Alligator mississippiensis: one gene and its partner. The protein of the gene in region 1 purifies or fractionates together with the protein of each later gene. This does not show direct contact. Links are inferred from orthologs where the notes say so. Each region holds a gene or a part of one and is shown in the gene's direction. Other genes may lie near its edges.

Region 1 (7,147 bases):
ATGTTGTCACAGTAAAGTTCTATTAATTATGTATAAGGTTGTTGCAAAATCTGAATAAAATAAAGCTCAGTTAAATTCTGATGCAGAATCTATTGAAGCCAATGTGATTCTTTTATTTCAATTTATCAGTCCCTGATGAAGATTACAGGGTGGCATGGCATTGTAGTGCTATGGATACTGCTTACTTTTCTATTGTGTAGTGATGTTATAAGGAAAGTGCGCTCAATGACAGGGAGCATAAGACTTGATCTACTATGAAGGGTTGAATGAGGGCCTTTTGAATGCAGCTGAATGTTACTGTGTTCTAGTCTTCACTTTGAGGTGTAAACTTTTTGCCTGGGTGCTTACAGCAAGATGGAGACACATTGTTCAAATTTTAGAGTACCTCTGTTGTAAAGAATTGTAAACTGAGGTTGTGCAAACTATCATACAATTATGCAAACTAGTTTCAATAGGAAGATGATTACATAATTGAAAATCTGTTAGTCATGATATCCAATAAAATACAAAGGATGTGATCATCTATGACAATTACTCTCTTTTGGAGTTGCTTTGAAACTTTAAATACATTTTGACTTTTACAATCTCTCTTTGTTTAGTTTATAGAGTTGGATTTGGAATCTCTAAAATGAGGAAATCTTCTTTGCTCTTTAGAATTATTTTCTGAAGATTTTTTTATTGTATTTTTATAGTGCCAAATGGATAGACTGCTTTTTGTGAGTATTTCATGTGGAAGCTGTAGGAAGTGTGAACAACAGTGGACATTCTAAAGTTGGTTATCATGAGCTTGGGTGCATCTGCATGTCACTGTATGGCGATGTTGCTACAGCACCATGCTTTAGTACTTCCTTTGCATCGCACAGTATGGGCAGCTACTTCACTGTGTGCATGGGACACAGTTAGATATCACCGCTATACGGGTGGGGGCTCTGCTATAGCTGGTGATCACGTGTAGACCTGTGTGATTGCTATATCGCCGTAGCATGCTGTACGGCGACATATAGCGCATTGCTATGTCACCATAGGGTGACATGTAGATGTGCCCTTTCAGTAATACAGCTTAAGATACCTATTCAGAGAAAATAAAGTTTTGATTCTCATACATGGGACTTTTTAAGGCACCTTATACTGGGAAGTAATGTGAGAGGCTTACAATAAAATACAAGTCATGATCATACAACATACAACTTGTTTTCACATGGATACATCTCCAAAAGCAGAAATAACTTGATTCCAAATGCTTGATTTCATGTATGTTCATCAATATACTTTTTTTTTCTTTGCTCTGCAACAGGGGGCAGAAATGCAACTTGCCAAAGCTCTGCTTGCCACTGAAGATCTGCTTTCTGCTAAAAGCACAGACCATCTGTCATCAAATACTAATTCATTCTGGCACTCCCCACAAATCATATAATTCTCCTCCCCACAAGCATGCCTACTTAATTCAGCTCCTCCACATTTTACAAATGTTTGCACAGCCCCAACTTTCAGCTGATGCAGATCACTCATAATGCAGCTGATAGACACCACAGTTGATAGACATACATTACAAAATCCTCTCCCCAGAGCTTCCTGACAATTATAGACCACCTGAAAGAGCCCCACCCATCTGATTTAGGATTCACCCACAAACCTACTCTACAGCTGATATGGCCTCCCAAGTCTGTGAGCTTCATCTCCCTTCTGGACTTGAGAGACAGACAGACCTGGGGGGAAGGAGGGGAATCATCATTTCGCACCATGACTATGGAGTGATTAAGAGCTACTGCTACCCCATTCTATGCGTACACATTCCAGCTCTACATTTTCTGAGAAAGGGCTCTAACCGTTTCACATGCAGAGGGACCAGCTGCTCTGCTACACTTAAAGCAGCTTTGATTGGCCAGTGGGTCAGTTTGGCAATGAGTTCACAAGAGCATCAATATGGCATATGGTCATACACCAGCTGTTTCTCCAGTGTTCTCCAGTGAGGCCCAAACCAGGTTGGCTTTAACTGTGGTTGTAGCCAGGGATCACAGCGGGGAGAAACAGCCCACAAACAGCCACTTGTATTTTTCCAAGCTCTCGCCACAAAACAAGCTCCACTCGCTTGAGATGTCACTCATAGATTACACACACATTCAAAATATAATCATGCATGATTTGCTTGGATGCTCTGACTGGACTCTTCTCCAGAATGCTTGGAAGCACTCCTGGGCTCCTCACTGGTTTTTTTAGGGTTAGTAAATTAGGGAATTAAGCAAGAGTTAGGACTCACACATGAGTATCTGTGTTAGAAGTATGCACTACTTTCACCAGACTGTTTTTAAATAGATGTAGTTAAACTTGTGCCACCTTTTTACAGACAAATCCTTAGTGTCCTACATTTTACTAACGTTTACAAATAGAAACAGAAATGAGTTTAGATCTTGAGGACAGGCGCAATAAGAAATTTGACATCACCTGTCACTTGCTATAACACAGAAATGGAGAGTTAAAATAAACTAGTGGAATGACTCAGCAGAAAATAGTGATCACGTGTGGAGTTTTGGTTTCATTTGGGGAGGGTTTTTTGGCTCTGTGTCATAGTTCATAAAAACAACAACATAATTTGTAACTAAATGGAAAAGCTTCTCAGCCTGGAGTAGAATTATATCCTATAGGCACCAGGTTCAAATTTTTATAGACCTTCCTTTAAATACCTGTGCAACAGCAGAAGCCCTGCTGGAGCTAACTACTCATCTAGGACCAGCTATAGTATAGCCTAGCCAGTTTATACCCAAAAGCTTGTCTATATAGCTTGTCAATCCTTGACTCTCACAAAAATTACTGCAGGTTTTTGGGTACCTTACTTCAGAAACCTAATTCCTCCACTGCATGGGAGACTCAGTCCTTACTAGTCCTAATGGACAAGAAGACCCTTCCCCCCCCAGTTGAAAAAGTTGAGCCTGGGTTAGAAAAAGTCACATTGACTCTGAAAGACAAAGGCTGTCCAAAGGGGATCGGTGTGTTACATAAGCACAACTACCTATTTAAATTCACACTTTAGCTTTCCTCAGCTCCTGCTACACTTTACCTATATGACCCAACTCACTAATGAATGTGGCACAATAAGTTTAAACCAGGCCACAGGGGCAAAGTAAGACACACACGCAAAAAAAAACCCCAATTATCACACAATTATCTGGCTAATTGTACAGTAAGTGCAGACCATCCACACCTGCCAAATCATTGTCTAAAACAGGGTTTCTCAACCGGTGGGATGTGTCCCATTGGTAGGACACTAAGGCCCTCTAGGTAGGACTCGGGTTGCGGTGGTGGTGACGAAACCAGAAGCGCCACGGCGGGACTCCTGGTATCACTTTTGCACGCTTTGATTGGCTGCTGGGGGAGCTCCCCCCACCCCCCTTGTCAGCCAGTCGGACCAGCATTTGTTGACCGTACGTAGGTGAGACATAAGGTGCAAAAGGTTTGGGAACCAGTGGTCTAAAAAATGACTACCCTGCTTAAAAAAAAAAAAGAAGAAAAAAAAGAAAGTCAACCAGCTACAAAAGTAGTGCCTAAAAATGTGTAACCTTCGGGTTGTTGCAGCCCTGGGCAAGAGAGTCACTTGGGGCCCCTGACAGGTACGTACTCAGGTAAATATTAACTCACCACAGCTACATCGTGGATCTTTGTAATACTCTTTCGGGGAATTAAATAAATAGTCGCGTGTCAACATGCGAACACAGCCACTTCCTTGCAAAGACTTCACCCTCCCGCTCCCCAAAATGTGGGGCTTAAGGCAGTATCCCACTTTGCCCCTACTGGTGTAACAACCGGTTTCTAAGCCGCTTTCATGTGCAGGACCCCCAAGGGGAGGGCACCCCAGGTCTCCTGCCAGAAGGAGCTGCTTGACCCCTGGTTTTCGTGGTGGCGAGGCAGCAGCTGGCTCCGAGGCGGTGGGCGGGCGGACCCCCCGCGCACGGACAACACTGCTCTTGTACCAGCCCGCCGCAGCGCCGCGCCGCGCCGCGCCGGGGGGAGCGAATAGGGGCAGCACAGCAGCGCCCCCCACTGCGCCTGCGCCGCGGGCCGGGCCGGGCCGGACGCGGGCCGCCTGCGGGCGGAGGGATACGGGGCGGAGCCGCCGGCGCGGTCCGCCGGGGCGCTGAGTCCTGTTGCCGGGTGACGGCGCGGCCGGCCCCCTCCTCCCTCCCTCCCTTCCCCCCCCTCCCCCCCGTGGCGCTGGAGCCGCCGCCGCCGCCGCCGGTTTACGTAACGCCTCCCAGGGCAGGGCCCGGCTCCGGCCCGTCCCGCCCGCTCACTCGGGGACGGCCGCAGCGGGACGGAGTCCGCCGCCCGCAGGCCCCAGGGCCCCGCTCCGCGCCGCCGCCGCCGCCGCCACGGCAGGTAAACCCCGGGGAGGCGCCGCCGCTGCGTCAGGGGAGGCCGCTGCGGTCCCGCCGCGGGCCGGGGGCGCCGGGCAGGGCCGGCCTCGCGCGCTGGGCCGCGCCTGCACGTCCCGCTGCCCCGGGGCCGTCGCCGCGACCTTCCCCCGCAACCCCGGCCCCGGCCCCAGCATTGTCCTTTAGGGGCCTGCGGGAGGCCGCTGCCCCGGGAGGCGGAGCGGGGCGGGGGCAGATTGACGCGGGGCCCGGCCTGTGAGAGCGCCCCCCGGGCGGGCCCTGCGCGGCCGCAGCCTCTCGCCGGCGCTGGGCGGAGGGGGAGGGCGGCAAGGTTTGGCGAAGGTTACAGCTGAATGCAGAAGTGACACCGCCGGGTGCTGCCGGCTCGGCCCCGCGCCGCGCTGCCGCCGCCTCCCAAGCCCAGCCGGAGAGATGACTTCCCCGCCCCGCGCGCGGCCCCTTGGCTTCGTCCGGGGCCGGCGGGCTCCGCTTTTCCTCCTCCCACCCCGCCGTACTCAGCAGCAAGCGAAGGGCACTCTCTGTTTAGTCTTGTAGGTCGCGACGATTCGGCCCTAAGTTTTACCGAGTTGAAAACGAAAGGGGACCGGGTTGTCACCCCGCCCTGGTAGAGGTCGATCCCCCGGCCCTTGACTTTTCAGCCGTCTCTTGTAACAGCCTGTAGTGAGCCTTGCTGGGAATGACAGATCAAGTGCTGCTCCCCTCTTGCGTTTTATCAAAGGTTATTTTAGTATCGTTTCCTACGTGGGTGACTGGTGCCTCTTGAGTCTGGGGGGGCACCCGCAGAAGCCGGCATTGGCGGCGGGGCCGGCAAGCACCCGCAGAAGCCGCTGGCAGCGGGGATGGCGCTGTCAGGGACACGTGCCCACCACCCTTGTCTTTCTTTTTTTTTATTACCCTTTTAAAGCTTCACAGTGACATTGACTAGGGCAACTATCGCAACGTGATCCTGTATGGCCAGGAAAAGCAATTGGAAGTACTCTGTTTTGTCATTCAGAATGCTTTCTGGTAGTAATAGGTTATTATTTTGTACTGTCGTAGTAGCAAGGAAATAACCCAAGAGTATCCCTTTCTATTTTAGATGACACCCAACACACCTTGAACTTTTAGCATTTCCTCTGTATGTATTTGCTTCCTGCAGCAGTGGCAGTAGCAGGGATTTCAAGCTGCCGAATCAGTTGATCTGGAATTGGGGGGAGATGGGGCTTTGGGCCCCTTTTGGCCTACAATGTGCTGCTGAGCAGGGTGCTGTTCAGAATCAGGAAGAAGGTGGTGGTTTTAAAGCCTATTATTCTTCTCTTGTCATCTGCTGCCTCTTCAGTCTGTGCTCCCTGCTGCTTCAGTGGGGTGAGTGTTTATATGGATCTAGGATTTTGAAAGGGGGCATGGGGATAGAGACCAGCTGCCCCCCTGCTGCCCTGCCTTCTTCCCCCACCCCCCCTTCACTGCATGAGCCGCAGTCAGAGACCTTTCTTTTTTTTTTTTTTTTAAATCCCTAATGCAGTTGAGAAACCAAGGTGTCTTGGCCTGGCCTGCCTTACATAGTCAGTGACATGTCCCCTCCCTTCCCATTCTCCCTTTTCTCCTCTCTCATGTTTCTGGGCACAGGAAGGGGGTGACCTGCCCACTGCTGTCCTGACCCCTCCTGCCCTGCTCCAGGGGGAGCTGCAGGCAGTGGCTGCACGGGGATTCCAGGCTTGGTTGGGGGCAGCAGTGGCAGCAGGTGGGTTTCCCTTCCCTGTGCCTACTTTTGGTGTAGGAGTGAATACCTTGGGCTGCTGCCACTGAGCCCAGCTTTCTGTGAAGCTACTCTGTAGCTCTAGGGCTCCCCCTATACCTATGTCAGTGGAGTTGCACTGTCCTGTATCAAGAGCAGGCTGGAAGGAGGGGAGGTGCCTGCTGAGCACAGAGAAGGACTACTGAGGGAGGGTTGGATTCTTACCTGCTTTGGGGACTTAAACAAGCCCCCATTGTTGCTCCTGTGTCTCCGGACTGAGGCAGTCAGGGCCATGGGGAACCAGAGCTGCTTAGCTACAGCATGGAAAGTGGGGTGCAGCTGCACCACTGCACCTCCTGTGAATCTGCTCAGGGGTGAGCTGTATCCGTTTTCCTCTGAAGTAGGGAAATTCTAAGGGTACAGAGTAAAGAGGAACCTGCAGGCAGTAATTTCGAGTTAGATGGCATTATCCTGTGCTAATTTGCTCTGTGGTTTTAGTGGAGAAATAGAACAGAAAGAAAACGTTAGGCACCCTATCATCTAAGCCAGTGTTTCTCAACCCATGGGTCACGACCCATAAGAGGATCACAAGAATATTTGAAAGGGTCATGAACAATCACAGAAAAACTCAGGAAAGCATGGGTTTCCCCTTGCAGGCTAGCAGCATTCCAGCCTGCAAGGGGCTGCTTGGGGCTGGGGGGAGTGAGACACAGCAGGTGCCATGTGTATGTGCGTACGCACGCATGCATATGGCATCTAGGCAGGATGGAAAGCAGCTCCCCGCAAGTAAATCTATGGGGCATAGATGATGCGTCAGTTGGGGGAACACAGGTGATGCAGTGGGGGGGAGGGGAGGGAGTGGGACATTCCCCTGCCAGATTTGTACAGACATGGGGCTGCAGCTTGGCTGGACCAGCATGGGCAGGAGCTGCCTCCATGGCCCAGCAGGTGGGTCCTAGTGCAGGACGGTGGAGCGGGGCAGTAAGACTAGTTGCTGGCAGCTGGGCCATGGTGGTGAGTTAGAGCTGCGGCCCAATGTATGAGT
Region 2 (7,948 bases), on another chromosome or scaffold:
AGTCACCGACAAAAATTAGTACCAAGCAGTGCAGAAATATGTACTACAGGCAAAGGGAAGGAATGGTTAAAGATAGTATTGCCTCAATTCTGAGAAACTGGAGATTGAAGAGGCGCATTCTGCAGTGGAGAATTTATTTGCTGACCACACCTAAGACATAACTGATAGGAACATTAGATGCCACAAGACAGTGGCCTCAGTGGCCTTGTTTAGTTTGCCTGCTACCTCACTCCTGTTACCATAGCTTTCATGCATGACGAATGTGGAAATGCTTTTGGATTTCAAATATTATCAATGTTATAAATATAAAACCAGTTAGAAAAAAAATAGATTACAGCGGTGGTACATACTGTGATTTTAGGCTTTCTAAAAAAAAATAGTAATCCATTGAAAGGTATCATTGACAGCAGGGGATTAACAATATTCAGTATCTTGTGGGGGTGGTTTCTGTTAGGAGAAGAAAATGAAGATAGAGCCACAGTGATTTAGATGCAATCCTGCTTATTTACAAATAAGGTATGCAACTTCCTGTTTCCTTGAAAACAGTACCTTTTCTCAGGGATGTGTTATAAATTGTTATCTGAATGTTTGTATTTCTTTGCTGCATTATCTTTTTTGCCTCTGATGTTTCTCCTGCCATTGTTTCTTAGTTAACCTTTTTTTCCTTTCCCCACTGTCTCCCCTCCTATTATATCCACCTGTTTCTATGAGGTTTCACTCAACTCCCAGCATAATGTCACTCCTTTCCATGCTTTCTTTTGCTCCCTATTCATAATTTCTTTTTATTCTTTTCTCATTCAGTTCCTTCTCACTTTCTGTGCTGCTTACCTCTTCATAAATGCTCAGACTCCTTTCCCACCCCTCCCAAAATAGTATACAGTTTTGCCTCAAACCCCCAAATTCACTCAGTGGCTCTCACTCACTATCACACAAACACCTTTCTCTCAAATATGGTAAATGCCAAGCCCATGAAAATTCCCTAAAAACTTGTTGGTACATGCAGCCTCTACCCCCACCCCAACCTTGCAAAACTGTTCACACACACACACCCACACACACAGAGAGGCAGGTTCCCCCAAAACTTAGTCCACATGTGACATACTCCATTGGCTTAGCCCACAGAGTTTATATGCATTCTCACTTATTAAAGCAAACAGGCTTCTCTCCTTCCCCAGTTCTTTCATATTATTTCCCCTGGTCATTAGCAATCCCTTTATTTGAGGATCTCTACCACTGCCCACTAATGGGTCTTGAGATGACTTAGGAGTCCAGTCCTTGAGCCATTTATCTGTCCACAGAAGTTACAAGTCCTTCTGTGGGGGAGAACAGGCTGTAGACTAGGATTTCTCTCCTTGTCCTTCCTCCACTTTCTGTTCTCTGGTTTGGGGGTTAGATGCTTTACCTTGAAGATGTCTGCTACTTGGTTAAAGTGGGACTGCTTGGCCTGCTGGCAGCTGCTCCCCCAGCTGCGGGAGACACGGGCAGACTCCACTGGAAAAAAAAAGGATCGGACTCCTTCAGGCACCTGCTGAAAGCAGAAGTGGCCAGGGACCCAATTCTTTTTTTCTGTGGAGCCTGCTCGCCTCTCCTGCAGCAGGTGGGGGGGGGGGGGGGGCAGGGGAGCTGACAGCTGGAACGCAACTACATCTGGATGTAGTTTACTTTACAATGATGCAAACCCCAAAACTGGTGCACATATAATATGTGACACCATTAAGCCACACAAATGACATTTTCGTCATGTGTACAAGCGCCTTAATATATCATTATGGGACAGGGAATATTCTCCCAATATTTACTAGCCTAAGGATATTCAGCGTGAGATTTGCAAAAACCAAAGACTGTTATGTGCCCAATCTGACTTCTGAGGGAACTGGTACTCTGACTCACATAGGAACTAGGGCTTGTCTATGAGAAAGTTATACTGGCTTAACCTAAGGTGTAAACAGAAACCAGTTTGGTTAACTGGGTGCAAACCCAAGCATGTGAACCTTGTTTTGGTTTGAGTTGTTTTTGTCCCCCCTTCCTGTCAGATTGGTGTACTTTGACTTTGTTCCTTATTGATTTCAAATGTCACTCAAACAAAATAATTGTCCATGAAGATAGTTGTACCAGTGCAACCTAATCAGTTTTAAACCTGATTTAAGTTAAAGTGGTACAAATTTCCCCATGCAGACTAGACTTAAGTTTATCAGGTGTGGTGAAGAAAAAAGGCAGTGTTGCAACATCTACAGCAATTTAAAGGAATAAAATAGTTGTGTATTTTATTATATTCTGCATATATTTATGTATATTACCATTCCATTCGATATATTTAGAAATATAACTTATTGCATTTCTCTCACTTCCATTCCATTTTTTCTTTCATCCATTCTGCTTTTTCTCCTTTTTCTTACAGTAGGTCACTAATGGTGGATCATAGTATCATAGTACTTAGGGTTGGAAGGGACCTAAACAGATCATCAGGTCCGACCCCCTGCCCTGGGCAGGAATGGGTGCAGGGATCATATCACCCCAGACAAATATCTGTCCAGCCCACTCTTGAAGACCCCCAAGGTAGGAGAGAGTACCACCTCACTTGGGAGCCCATTCCAGATCCTGGCAGCTCTAACTGTAAAGTAATGTCTCCTGATATCCAGCCTGAACCTTCTCTCTAACAAATTGTGGTCATTATTCCTAGTAACCCCATGTAGTGCCTGGGGGAACAGAGCCTCCCCCAATTCCCACTGATGCCTAGAAGTAGAGGTACAGACATGAACAAGTGTATACATGCGCACATTCCTTTCTCTTTCCTTCCCCACAACTTAATCAGGTTCTCCAAGTGTAAAACTTGGGACTCTTGAAAGCATATCCCACACCAAAACCCTTCTAGGGGTAAGAAAAGGGTTCTTGCTCTTTCTTGGTACCCTCACTTCCTAATGAGAAAATGTGAAACCCTGCAGTAAAAAGCAGAACAAATTCAGTAAGTTCCTAATGTTGACACCTGTTTTCTCCCAGTGACATAGAAAAGAATCATAGAAATCATAGAAAAGTTGGGCTGGCAGCGATGTTCAGGGGTCATCTAGTCCAAACCCCTGCCTAAGGTGGAATCATCTCATGTCAAACCATCCTATACAATCCATAATCTAAACTCTATATAAGACTGCTATCAACCCTGATACAGCAGACCTAACACCCTAACCTGCCACAGGTAAAGCAGGGGAACAATGACAGCCAATGCCCTGCTTCTGTGAATGATGATGTCAATATATGCTCAAGAGATCCTAGGTAGAGGGCCCCTCCCTCCAACAGACAGAGACAAAAACCCCTACAATCTTACCACAGGGTGAAATTCCTTCCTGCCCCCAAATCTGATGACTGGTCTGACCCTAAGCGTAGGGGCAAAACTCTCTAGCCAGGGACCGTTCATCCCAGCAGGAGCACTGGCACACCCCAGTCAATGTTCCCGGCCTTCTTTTTACCTCTCCCCCTGCAGATACTTTCCATCTACCTCTTACCTGCCTGTCTTATACATGGACCTAATCTATGCTATCAAGTCTTGCTGGCAGAACTCCTGCATACACAAGGTTCCCCAGTAGCAGCAGAAACCTCCACTTCTGCTGCATAGATCTTCCCGCACTCTCTGCTGGTGTTGTTCACCTTTTCAACCCATGACTCCTATCCATGCCCATTTCCCCTACCTCTGCTGCTTCCTCTGGTTTCCCCCAGTGAAGGGCCATTGCCACCTGATTTTCGCCAGACTAACACCTTCTTCTCCTCTCACTCTTCCTACACCTCAGACATCTCCTTCATCCAGCCAAGGTTTCTCCATCCTACTTCATCCTCCCAGGCCCAACAACTCTGTGAAAACTCCCCAGCTTAGATGCCTCCTCTTCCCAGTGAGGAAATTTTAGGATCACTAGGAAAAACTTCACAGTCAGGGTGTCCAGATTGTGGAATAAGCTCCCTCCAGAGGTGGTGTGATCACCTACCCTGGAAATCTTCAAGAGGACACTAGACAGTCACCTTGCTGGGGTCACCTGACCCCCAGTTACCTTTCCTGCTTGGGGCAGGACCTGATGATCTTCCAAGATCCCTTCAATTTAAGAAAATCTGCCCTCCCCTGCACCATAGCCCCTGCTCCACCCCACCCAAACGAGGTCATCCCCTTCTCAGCTCAAGGCCCTGTGTGTCCAGAGGCGAGTCCAGGCTCCTCATCCCCAGCATGGCAAGGACCTGCCTACACAAAGAGGCCTTCTGGGGCTACCATGCTGTGGATAACCAGCATGGAGAACACAGCCCTTTGCTCCTCCTGCCGTGTGTGTGAGCATGTGTGACAGTGTGAGAGTGCGTGTGCATGACTATGAGAGCATGTGAGCCTGTGTGACAGCCAGTGTGCATGTAAGCATGTGTTACAGTGAAAGCATGAGAGGGCATGTGTGTGTGGCCACAACAGTTGAGTGTGTGCATGTGCGTGACTGAGAACGTGATTGTGCATGTGACTGTATGGGAAAGCGTGTGACAGTGTGCATGAGTGTGAGTACGTATTTGTGACAGTGTGGGAGTGTATAAGTGTGTGCGCACTGCAGCCCAGCCCACTTCAGCGCCGGTGCGAGCAAGTGCCCGTGCAGCCCGCGCCGCTGGAGGCTGGGCGTGAAAAGGGTCTCCCCTGCCCCCCCCCGCTCCCAGCGGCCTGCAGCACCCGCCCAGCGCCCGCCAAGTTATACCACCACGTGACAGCCGGGCCAAAGGGGGGGGAACTGCGAGGGAACACCAGCAGTTACCAGGGCGACCAAGCCCCGCCTTCACCCCATTCCCTCCCTTCCTACGTCAGCGCGGTCTGCCCTCCCCTCCTAGCATAGACCGAGTCAGGGGCGGGGCCCTGGGCGGTGTGATTGACAGTCTCCATAGCAACAGGCTCGTCCCGTCGCCATTTTGTCAGTTGGCTTTTTTTTTTTTTTTTTCTTTTTTTGAAATCCTTCCCCTTTCCCGCCCGAACCGCCGGTTCCAACACTGGGGGAAAAAAAGGATTCGGTGCGTGACGGGGCGCGCGCATCCCACGCGCGGGGGGGATTGGCTGTGTATGTGTGTGTGTCAGCAGGGAGGTTCGAGGCGGGCGAGTGCGTGGGCCTGGAGGAGCAGCCGGCTCAGCTCGGCTTGGTGGGGGGAGGGGGAGGAGCGCGGCGCGCGCGTGCGGGGAGGGGGGAGCGAGCGAGGAGTTCCCGGGGCTCCGCCCCGCCCCGCCCGCCAACCGCCCCGGCTCGGGAGGGGGAGGGGAAGGGGACACCCCGTAGCCGTTGCCGCCGTTGCTGCCGCCGGCCGCTGCGCAGGTTGGGAGCGCGCGCCATTTTGTGAAGCCATCGACAAATCCGCCCGGTCGGGCAGCGCCGCGGATCCGCCCGCCGGGCCCCGCGCCGCCCCGCCCCGCGGCCGGCCGGCCCGGGCTGCGGGACCGCGGGCAGGCGCTGCAGGGCCCAGGCGGCGCCAAACCCACTCCCGCCGCCGCCGCCTGAGTGACGAGGCCCTGGCCCCGGCCCCGAGCGCCGCCGCCCGCGCACGGTAAGTGCCGCCGGCCGAGGCCCCGCTGCCATCTTAGAGCGGGGAGCTTGGGCACGGCCTGCAGCCGTGCGGAAGAGGAGGGGGCTGCCCGGCCCTGGGCAGCGGCACCGGCACCTGTTGCGGTGGCGGGACCCGGCTCCAGGCCGATGGGCTGTTCGCCCCCGTGAGGACGGGGTTCCCTGGTGAGGCCGGGCACAGCATCGCCCACCTGTTCCCCGCGCCCTCCTCCCGGCCCTGCCCGGCCCGGCCCGGCCCGGTTCCTCCAGCCCCGCAGTCCGCCGTGGGGGGGGTGCTCTGGGCTTCTTATCAACTTGCGAGTTGCCCCTGGATTGTTTGATGAAGGGTGTTGAAGGTTTGGCCCTCCTGCTGTTCCCCAGCCATCAGAGTGCTATGTTTTTATGCTTTTAAGATAAGGAACATAAAAAATTGTCACCCCCAACAAATCAGCAAGCTTCGTGTATTTCTTCACAGCAGCTTCCCCCCCCCCCGCGATAATGTGCTATTATTTATGGCCAGTACTGTATATATTTTTGCAAGAGGGGGCAGTCAGTGTCAAGCGGGGAGCATGCCAAGGTCTTGGAGGAGCAAACTTTGACACACTGTCGCTAAGGTGGCAACTTCTCAGTGGCCTTGCCTGCTTCCCTGAGAATGAGTGCTGGGGAGGACACCTGGGTGATGCCTGATGTCAAAACTGGTGCATTTTGTTTGTGGTCATAGTTAATAACCTTAAACATTAGTGAAAGCTGTTTAACTCATCACAAATGAGAATGGCGTAGCCCTCCTGACACGTTTGGCCAAAACTCCCCCCCCCCCCCCCCCCCCCCCCCCAAAAAAAAAAGATATAATTGAAATAATTATACTGTTCGGGAGTAAAGTTTTGTAAGTAATCCTGCATGTACCCATCTCGCGTTCAAATAGTTACTTGTCGATTGCTATTCTGGATATATTTAGTGAAACACATAAATAAATAGATTACTTTGTAGACTAGTGTCATCAACTCATAAAAATGAAGTATTTAAAGTCAAGGCGTGCGTTCATTTATTTGAAGTTTACATGTGTGATGTGTTAGATTTATGTTTTCATTCCATTTCAGTTTTTTGATACTTCTCTAGCAACAAATGTTCAAGGCTTTATGCAATCTGTGCATGGGTCTTGACAGTTATTTTTAATAAAAAATTGTTCCATGTTTGAAGTTAAATGAGAGCTGTTGCTTTTCTACCCTTCCAAATGAGATGGTTCCCTAATTTAAGTTTTCTAAATGTTTTTTTTTTTTAAATAAAAGTGCTTTGGTATTTGTTTCTAGGTGTCAGAAGTATGGCAGAATTATAGTTACTAAATCAGGGTTTGCATAGGTCTAGACTAGGTTGCCTTGAGATCCTTTAAAGGGTGCCACAGGGTACGATACAATGTTAGCTTAGTTGTGTGCTGGCATGATTCACAAGATAAACCCATAGATTTCAAATAGGAATCCATAACGGTAAAGCTGTTGTGGTCTTTCTGAGTTCTTTGCATCCAAAGACTTGCTACAAAAAAAAAAAAAAGAGTGAAACCTAGGAGTTGGGATTTTCTGAGGGGTGCCCTCAAAAGGTTTAGAACCAGTGGCTCAGGCCTTAACATCTTGGCTTTGCCATTGTGGACAGCTGTAGGGAAAGAGGAGCAAGAGCAGTTTTCTGAAATAGCGAAAAAAAGATTTCTCTGCTTGCTACGTGTGCTCCAAAAGAACTCCAGTTTACAACTGGTATTTCATTTTTGGTGTGAAGGCAGTGATGTAGTAGTGCCTGAGCATGTACCCATTTTTAGAGTGCTGTGGGCTTTATCTATAATAGGGTTTAATATATGAGGTTAATTGATGCATTCTAGCTGTTATTTTAATATCCTATGCAAGGCATATAGGACATGCTACCTTCACTATCTGGATGAAAGTTTTTAAAAGTTAGCCCGTGTTTGCTAACACATTCTGATAGCACACGTTAAAACCTTACTTTAGACAAGGCCTTAGCAAGAAACTTGTGACTGAGTTGAAAACATATACTACTTTTGTCCACAGATGATTCATCTGAGGACAGAAGTAGTGTATGTTTTCAGCCTCATTAGTTTAACAGGGTACTTTTTAATATAGAGGCTAACACATTTGCTTAGCTGTTTCTGTTGCCCACAGCACAACCAGCAAACGTAGGGGCGTATTAAACTTAGCTGAAAAGCATGCCCCTTTTCCTTTATAGCATACATACATTATTCTGAACAGAAATGGGTGGCGCATTCAAAGCTAAAATGTTCAGAAAACCAACTATGCTGCTATAGTTTAGGTAATGTCTTCAGTTTCCCTTCAGAAACTCTTTATTTTGAGGTGTTCATAATGTCATACTGAAAGTTGTGCTACCAGCTTAAGTTTGGAAGCAAGTATGACACT

Evidence for each region. Proteins that work in one complex are often made in the same cells at the same time.
Region 2: the proteins of KIAA0232 (region 1) and DYRK1A purify together in Homo sapiens (affinity purification with mass spectrometry; 3 studies listed by BioGRID and IntAct, with this or other methods). This does not show direct contact. The link is inferred for Alligator mississippiensis from reciprocal best matches to the Homo sapiens genes KIAA0232 and DYRK1A.

Annotation. Positions count from the first base shown.
Region 1 is NC_081825.1:26,191,757-26,198,903, reverse strand, and holds the start of KIAA0232 (uncharacterized protein KIAA0232 homolog), read left to right. Parts: upstream 1-4,139; 5' UTR 4,140-4,371; intron 4,372-7,147.
Region 2 is NC_081824.1:295,213,519-295,221,466, forward strand, and holds the start of DYRK1A (dual specificity tyrosine-phosphorylation-regulated kinase 1A), read left to right. Parts: upstream 1-4,929; 5' UTR 4,930-5,013; intron 5,014-5,271; exon of another isoform or gene 5,272-5,538; intron 5,539-7,948. UniProt on the Homo sapiens protein: Dual-specificity kinase which possesses both serine/threonine and tyrosine kinase activities. Exhibits a substrate preference for proline at position P+1 and arginine at position P-3.